2 linked regions of the Nothobranchius furzeri genome follow. The protein of the gene in region 2 interacts with the protein of the main gene of each other region in a pairwise test. Links are inferred from orthologs where the notes say so. Each region holds a gene or a part of one and is shown on either strand. Other genes may lie near its edges.

Region 1 (3,754 bases), on a different chromosome or scaffold from region 2:
ACAATCCAGTGTTCTTTTTTTCATGTCAGTTGTTTTTTTTTAATAAATTATAACATTTGAGGTTTCTGTTTGAAATGATTGCATATGGTTAAAAGATTAAAGAGCTTTTATATGGAATTTATTTTGTTGTTCTTAAACACTGGAAAAATATTTCAAACAGAAAATCAAAGTTGAAAATGTTTTTTTGAAAAATTGTAAACAATAAAAAAGTAAACAAGCAACAAAAATAACCTCAAAAACATTTTTAAAGGTTGAATTTTAAATCTAATCAGAATTTTGTTTATTAAAAAATTATAAAAAGAAAAAAAATTTTTGTCTGAATGAAAAAGTATTTTATTTTGAAAAATAGAAATTTTGTTTCTTGCATCGTCATGCTCTCAAAACTTAATTTTTTTAGTTTGAAGCACAATTTTTGACTAAATAATAAAAACACTAAATAAATTCCATACTTTTAATACAAAAGCAACTGAAACAAGACAGAGTGTATTCATGACAGACTTTAAACCCGCTCTAAGCTGGTCTGGGGTCAGCTGGGTGCCGACACTGTGTGGATCTGTTTTTGGAGGTCGTAGAGTATCCGTCCCGATCGGAATAATGGCTCGTCTTTATCCATCCACTCTTCTACGTGGAAATCTGGGAAGAAGAAACAGATTTCTCTTCGAGCTGACTCTGGAGAATCTGAAGAACACATCACAGATTTTAAAGGCTTACAATGTGAAAAATGCCAAACTTTGAAAGAAAAGAAGCTCTAACTTTAAGTAATATATTAATTCAAAAATGAAAACGACACTGAAAAAAGACAATGTGTGATTTCTGAGAAAGTAGTTTCTGCAAGGCCCTAGGAATCAGGATGAACCCACCAGACCACCTTTAGGCTCCATCTAACATTCCTCATTTTAAATTTGGATTAAACATCATTTTTTAAAACATTTAAGATAAAGGTTTGGAAAGTTTGCTACCTGAGCCATGAGTTGTGTTTCTAGTGTCTGTGAGCCCAAACTGGGCCCTGAGGGAGGTGGGGGACGTGTATCTGGCTCGAAACACTTTAGTGGGTCCCATCAGGTCCCTCCAGTGACGTATCCCGTCCTCCTTGGCTAAGATATACGCTCGCATGGGACCACTAGAAGGAAAAAGGAAAAGAAAACCTGCTTTCAGAAAAGGCATAAAAGGCTAAAATTGATCTGATTTCTTCACACCAAATATAATGAAAACACCCTTCAGATGAAGCTCATATTATTCATCTAAAAGTCTCACTCGATGACGATGTTTTCTTAGTGTGTTCTCAGTAACAGCTTCCCGTTTGAATGGTTGCCATGGCAACCATTTCACCACTGCCACCCAAGAATAGTGACAGCATAATTACATGCACTTTTTCCACCCCAGCGTGAGCTCGCGGCCAGAGGAGGAATCATCCAGATGTTTGTAGACGATCGCTGCTGGGATGTTGTGCTGAAGGGGTGAGTGTGATGACAAGTTCCAGAAAATGACCAGAGTCTTCCTCAGAATGAAATTAAAACACCAAAAAGAGCTGATCTGTGTCAGCTATAGTGGACTAATTAAACACTTACCAGTATTTTACAACTACTTTGTGATGTTTTATATCATTCTTGTGAGGAAATCCTCAGAATGCAAAAAAATTATTATGGAGGCTAACCTGGACATGAACTCAACTAGTCGTTGATAGAAGAATCGCTCTGTAGACAGAGGAAATTCAAAATGAAGCAAATCTCAAACATTATTCTTTTAACTTGAGTGAATTTATGTAAGTTGTTCCAAAGTATACATATTTACTTCATAAGAGACATTGCATGTGATATTCCTGCTCTAAAAAGCTGCTTCTTTCTTTGATCTCAAGCAGAAACTTTTAAAGTCCCATCTGATCACGTGACTTTTGTCCACACCTGAGTGTTCAGCGTAAAACTTCTCGGAGTCCTGTCGTCTCCACGCCAGCTCTTTGTTTCTCACAATCACAAATTTGTTTTCCAGAATTATCTGATGAAGAGCCTGAAATAAAAAAAGAAGAAACACAACATCTGTGCATTTTTCTACCATCTGCGTGTTGGAAGATATCTATTAAATGGAGAAAATCACTAGCTGTAAAATTTTAATACTCTGCAGAAATATAAAAGTAACATCAAATTCCCTTTGAAGTAAAAGACTGATGATTTTATGTCATTAAAGAGCATTTCATGTGTTTTGGGACAGACAGTCTTGTTTACCTCTGACATTAAGGGATGAGCCACAGCATCTGGTTTGATGACCGCTAGGGTGAGCTGCAGCACTTTAGACAGGCGAGTGGTCGTCAGTAACATGATCTAATGAATACACACGAATTATGAAGTAAATTAAAGCAAATGTTCGAACATCTGCTGGATATTTTAATGAAAAAGACCAAAATATATCTTTGAAATCATTCGGTTATTTTAATAAACACCTAAGATGTACCTACACCTGGTGTAGCAGCATTTTGGACACGTTTTACCGCTAATATACACGGAAAATAAAGTTTATAACCGTACAAAAATCATAACAGATTATACATTTTGATACCGACCTTTTTTTAGTTTTTCAGGGTGTAGCAAAAGCTAAAACGCCGCTGCACCAGTTTAAATTTCCACTTTTACGTAAAAGAAAACGTTGCAGAAGCTCTTGATAAAACTCCAATGCAGTAGTCATCAATAGCAGTTTGCATTTTAAGCGATAAATGTAATGAAACAACTTTAAGCTAGCTGAACGATTCCATTTCCTGATTTGTCCGTTTGTCAAAATCGTCCCCGAGAAACGGAACCTGTAAAGTTTGTTCCTATGTGAGGACAATAGAATTAATAGCTCTATTAATAATAATAATAATAATAATAATAATAATAATAATAATAATAATAATAACAACAACAATAATAATAATAATAACGTTATTACTCCTATTACTTTTACTAGTACTCCTAATAATAATAATAATAATGGAAATATATTTTTAAACGACTTTATTAAAATATTGCAAATGGCACAACATTCTGTATGGAATACAATACAATACAGTATTTATTTAGAAGTTTGAAATCATAGTAAATAACAAACAGCATTAAAACAAGAGGTTACAGACTCAGATTGTAAGGGGTACATGAAATCAACTTCATTTTTGGAACAGAACATCAATTTTGGTACACTACTTTTTTTCTCTATAGATGGGAAAAACAATAATAATTTAATATTTTTAATAACAAATTCTTATACTTACTGTCATTAGAAAAACAAAGTCTTTAACCCTATTTTAATATTAAATTGCAAAGTAAATATTATTTTCTACTCATCAATTATTTAAAATAAGCTACTATTCTAATTAATAGTTACTATTGAAAATACATTTCTCATGCCAGAAAGTACATACAGATTTATGAAACATGTAATCCAACAATACTGATGCATTTTTATATGCCTGATATTTTTCTTTGATGATCACATTAAACCCTTTCTCTATATTTTTCATTTGAACAAGCTACTTTTTTAGACTTCACCAAAGAATGCTCAGACCTTGTTTTCCTTAGTCCTTCTGCGGGTTAAAGTACTTTATTAAAATTATCTGAAACTGAAATTGAATTAATTATGTAATCACTACTGGAGCACTGAAATAATGTGTAAAGATGTTATAAAGCATCACAGGTACTAGCTTTACAGCTGCTCTAACACAAGATCTCTATCAGAACAAACACTTTGGGGCGGACTTCACATCAGTAGGACGATTTGGTTTCTTACA
Region 2 (3,754 bases):
TCATCGGGCTCATCTCTGACGGTGATGAGTCCGCCTACAGGAGGGAGGTGGATCGGCTGGTGTACTGGTGCAGCAGCAACAACCTGGAGCTTAATGCTCAGAAGACAGTGGAGATGATTGTGGACTTCAGGAAAGTCACAGCCCCATCTCTCCCCGTCGTCCTGACTGACCTCCCCGTCACCACTGTGGACTCCTTCCGCTTCCTCGGAACCACCATCACACATGACCTTAGGTGGGAGCCATCCATCAGCTCCCTGATCAAAAAGGCCCAGCAGAGGATGTACTTTCTGCGGCAGTTGAAAAAGGTCAAGCTGCCGGCCCAGATGATGGTGCAGTTTTACACGGCCATCATTGAGTCCATCCTCACCTCCTCCATCGCTGTGTGGTACGCTGGAGCCACAGTTAGGGACAAACACAGACTGCAGCGCATTGTGCGCTCTGCTGAGAAGGTGATTGGCTGCAGCCTTCCATCTCTCCAGGACCTGTACGTCTCCAGGACTCAGGGGCGTGCAGGTCGGATAGCAGCTGACCCTTCTCACCCGGGTCACAGACCTTTTGAGCCGCTTCCCTCAGGCAGGAGGTTACGGTCCATCAGGACCAGAACCTCCCGCCATAAGAACAGCTTCTTTCCATCTGCAGTTAGACTTGTGAACTGCTTATAAACACAAAACCATGCTGGTTTTCTGTACTTGACACAACATCACGTTATCAGCCATGTTACCATTACCAGCCATTTTTTATAGCTGAAAGTTTTATTCTATTTTATTCTATTTTTAATCTTATTGTTCATGTTATATGTAGCACATTAGTACCAAAGCAAGTTCCTAGTTTGTGAATTGTTTGTTCACGGACAATGGCAATAAACCTATTCTGATTCTGATTCTGGTTTCAAATTCCCTTTAGGTCAATTATGTTGAGTCGTGGTGTTGTACCCTCCAGTCCAGCAGGTGGCGCTCTGTCCTAAGGGCTTAGCGTTAGCTGTGATCACAACTGTACTGGGAAAATGTTTGTTAGCTCTTATTTAAACTACCCTGAAATATATTAGTCGACTTTCATTTATGCTTTAGTAATTTATTCAGAGCTCATAACCAGTCGTTCGGACGTTGTAAAACACTCGTTAAAAGGCGATAAAAGGTAAGTTTACCCCTAGTTTCAGGGCTGCGTGGACACGAAGCGGAGGTGGAACTCAGTTCATTAAGCCTTAAATTTAACTCAAATCTGCATGTTTTCCTGAGCACGGAGGAGTTAGGAAACATTTTATTAAATTATCCGCATTTATAAAAGCCTTTCTAAGACTCGGCCATATTGCAGTTTGAAAAACATTTGCAATTTAAAGGTTTTCGACAAAATGTGAGCAAAGATAGCATACGTGAAAGCACCAAACTTGGTGTAATATCAAAATACAATTTTGAGAAACCTCGAACAGGTACGTAGTACTTCCAGCTGAATTTCCTGTCTTGGCATAATTGTACTTAAATTATAAAACTAAACTTGACTGAATGATACATTACTTTTAATTCTAAAAATATAAGGATGCATAAATAAAATATCAAACATGAACATTATAAATACCTCATTAAAGGTGCAGTATGTAAGAATGTAGTGAGGATTTTACAGTTAGAAAATCCCAGAAGCGTCTGCTTCAGTCATTTTGGAAGTAAGGTTATACTGAAACACTTTGAATGTTTGTGTTTATTCATTTCGCAGATGCTTTTATCCAAAGCGACTTACAATTTATAACCTATAGGGCATGTTGTGATCTGTGGGGGAAACCGGAGGAAACCCATTCATGCATGGGGAGAACACGCAACTCCACGCAGAAAGGCCGCAGCCGAGGTTTGAACCTACGACTTTCGTGCTGCGAGGCAACAGTGCTAACCACTGCGCCACCATGCCCAGCTGGCTGTGGGGATTGACAGTTTTTCTCCTTTCAAAACAAAGGGAGGAGGGACATAGCTACTATTTACCATCAGTGACAGGGTTTTTCCTGGCTCAAACTGAGGCAGAGGTGGTACCATCCTGACCATGCGCCAGCACATGCATACTCTGTGTATTCAACTGACTCACTTTTTAAAAGGCAAATTATTATAAAAGACTCAATAATATACCACAACGGCTTGCCTTACTTTCTGCGCCAGCAGTAATATGACTCACATCTGCAGCGGTTCTGATCCGTAGCGCTGCAGGATGCAGAATAAACAGGATGGTGGGGAATTTTCATCCGCTTGTAGAGTTTAGTCTTTCTTAGTTTTACCATCATCATCATATATTTTTCTGTGCGCCACTTGATCGTGAGACTGCTATCCGTTAACTTTAGCATTAGCCAATCTGAGTGTAGCTGCACTTTTGATCCCAGACTTTGTACCGGTTCTGCCTTTGCTGGTTCCTTTATTGTCCTCCACTGCATCCAGATGACCACACTGTGCGCCAGTAAAAAAGCATTTTTCTTACACGTAACTTACTTTTGTTCAATAAAGTTCTGGGGAAAACAGAAATTCAAAGATGTTGCACCAGTGCTACGTTTAAAAATAGACAGACACGCACAGACAGTTGTTTTCGTCGCACTGTACAGCCCTGCTCTGATATGGAAGAGCCTGGGGGAAAATCAGGACGTCACTAGCACCAACCATAGATATGTACCAACTAGCGAGAAAAGCTATTTTTGATTTATTTCTGCAGCAGTTTTAGTGCTTTTCGGTGCACCGCTGCTGATACAGCGTCCCTCTTGTGGCGCAACTCTGCAACTGCAGTTAAAATAACATCCATATAGCTGTGGACAGAGTGAAATCAGGCTGGGGCGGCACAAAATTAGCTGGAGGTGGCTGCCACACAAATTTTAATGCAGGAAAAACCCTGAGTGAGTGTGGGGTAGTCATGTCTCCTGCGAGCCAATACTGCAGCGCCGACAATTGTAATTTGACGACTAACGGTAAAAAGCTCCTAAGTTGTTTAAAGTGGTTTCAGTAACCAAATTTTACCACAGACATTTTTACTTCATTTCTACATAATGCACCTTTAAATTTTTTTAAAACTATTTTCACATTTCAATATTTTCAAAGATATGTTTCTACAATTTGGGGCTGCGCAGTGGTGCAGTGGTTAGAGCTGTTGCCTTGCAGCAAGAAGGTCCTGGGTTCGCTTCCCGGCCTGGGATCTTTCTGCATGGAGTTTGCATGTTCTCCCTGTGCATGCGTGGGTTCTCTCCGGTACTCCGACTTCCTCCCACAGTCCAAAAACATGACTGTTAGGTTAGTTGGTCTGTCCAAATTGTCCTTAGGTGTGAGTGAGTGAGTGAGTGAGTGAGTGTGTGTGTGTGTATGTGTGTGTGTGCGCGCATGGTTGTTTGTCCTGTGTGTCTCTGTGTTGCCCTGCGATGGACTGGCTCTCTGTCCAGGGTGTACCCTCCCTACTTACCCGTTGACTGCTGGAGATAGGCACCAGCCCCCCCGCGACCCTGCGTGGACAAAGCGGGTTCCGAAGATGGATGGATGTTTCTACAAGTTCATTAAAAATGGCAAAAAAAAAACCTTTTATTTTTACAAATAATATTTCATGCATATCCTTTTTTTTCCCTGTTATGTGTGTTTTTGTCCAGGATGATGGCTTTTCCACGCGTGCGTCTGTGTTCTCGCCACATAAGCGTGAGCCCTAACCTTTGTGGTTATGCCACCCTCCCTGGTGCATCACGACCTCAGGAGAAGAACAGCACTAGTCCAGTTTTCCAGTTTGTCGGCGAGCACAGAAAGCCAACACG

What was found. The genes of interacting proteins can lie anywhere in the genome.
Region 1: the proteins of rcc1l (region 2) and nme6 interact in binary tests that used the Homo sapiens proteins (3 or more experiments, as listed by UniProt). The link is inferred for Nothobranchius furzeri from reciprocal best matches to the Homo sapiens genes RCC1L and NME6.

The regions. Positions count from the first base shown.
Region 1 is NC_091742.1:1,574,775-1,578,528, reverse strand, and holds nme6 (nucleoside diphosphate kinase 6), read right to left. Parts: upstream 2,779-3,754; 5' UTR 2,555-2,778; intron 2,316-2,554; 5' UTR 2,313-2,315; coding exon 2,220-2,312; intron 2,005-2,219; coding exon 1,902-2,004; intron 1,695-1,901; coding exon 1,655-1,694; intron 1,121-1,654; coding exon 960-1,120; intron 679-959; coding exon 527-678; 3' UTR 438-526; downstream 1-437. UniProt on the Homo sapiens protein: Major role in the synthesis of nucleoside triphosphates other than ATP. The ATP gamma phosphate is transferred to the NDP beta phosphate via a ping-pong mechanism, using a phosphorylated active-site intermediate. Inhibitor of p53-induced apoptosis.
Region 2 is NC_091750.1:67,888,472-67,892,225, forward strand, and holds the start of rcc1l (RCC1-like G exchanging factor-like protein), read left to right. Parts: upstream 1-936; 5' UTR 937-1,134; intron 1,135-3,595; 5' UTR 3,596-3,596; coding exon 3,597-3,754. UniProt on the Homo sapiens protein: Guanine nucleotide exchange factor (GEF) for mitochondrial dynamin-related GTPase OPA1. Activates OPA1, by exchanging bound GDP for free GTP, and drives OPA1 and MFN1-dependent mitochondrial fusion. Plays an essential role in mitochondrial ribosome biogenesis.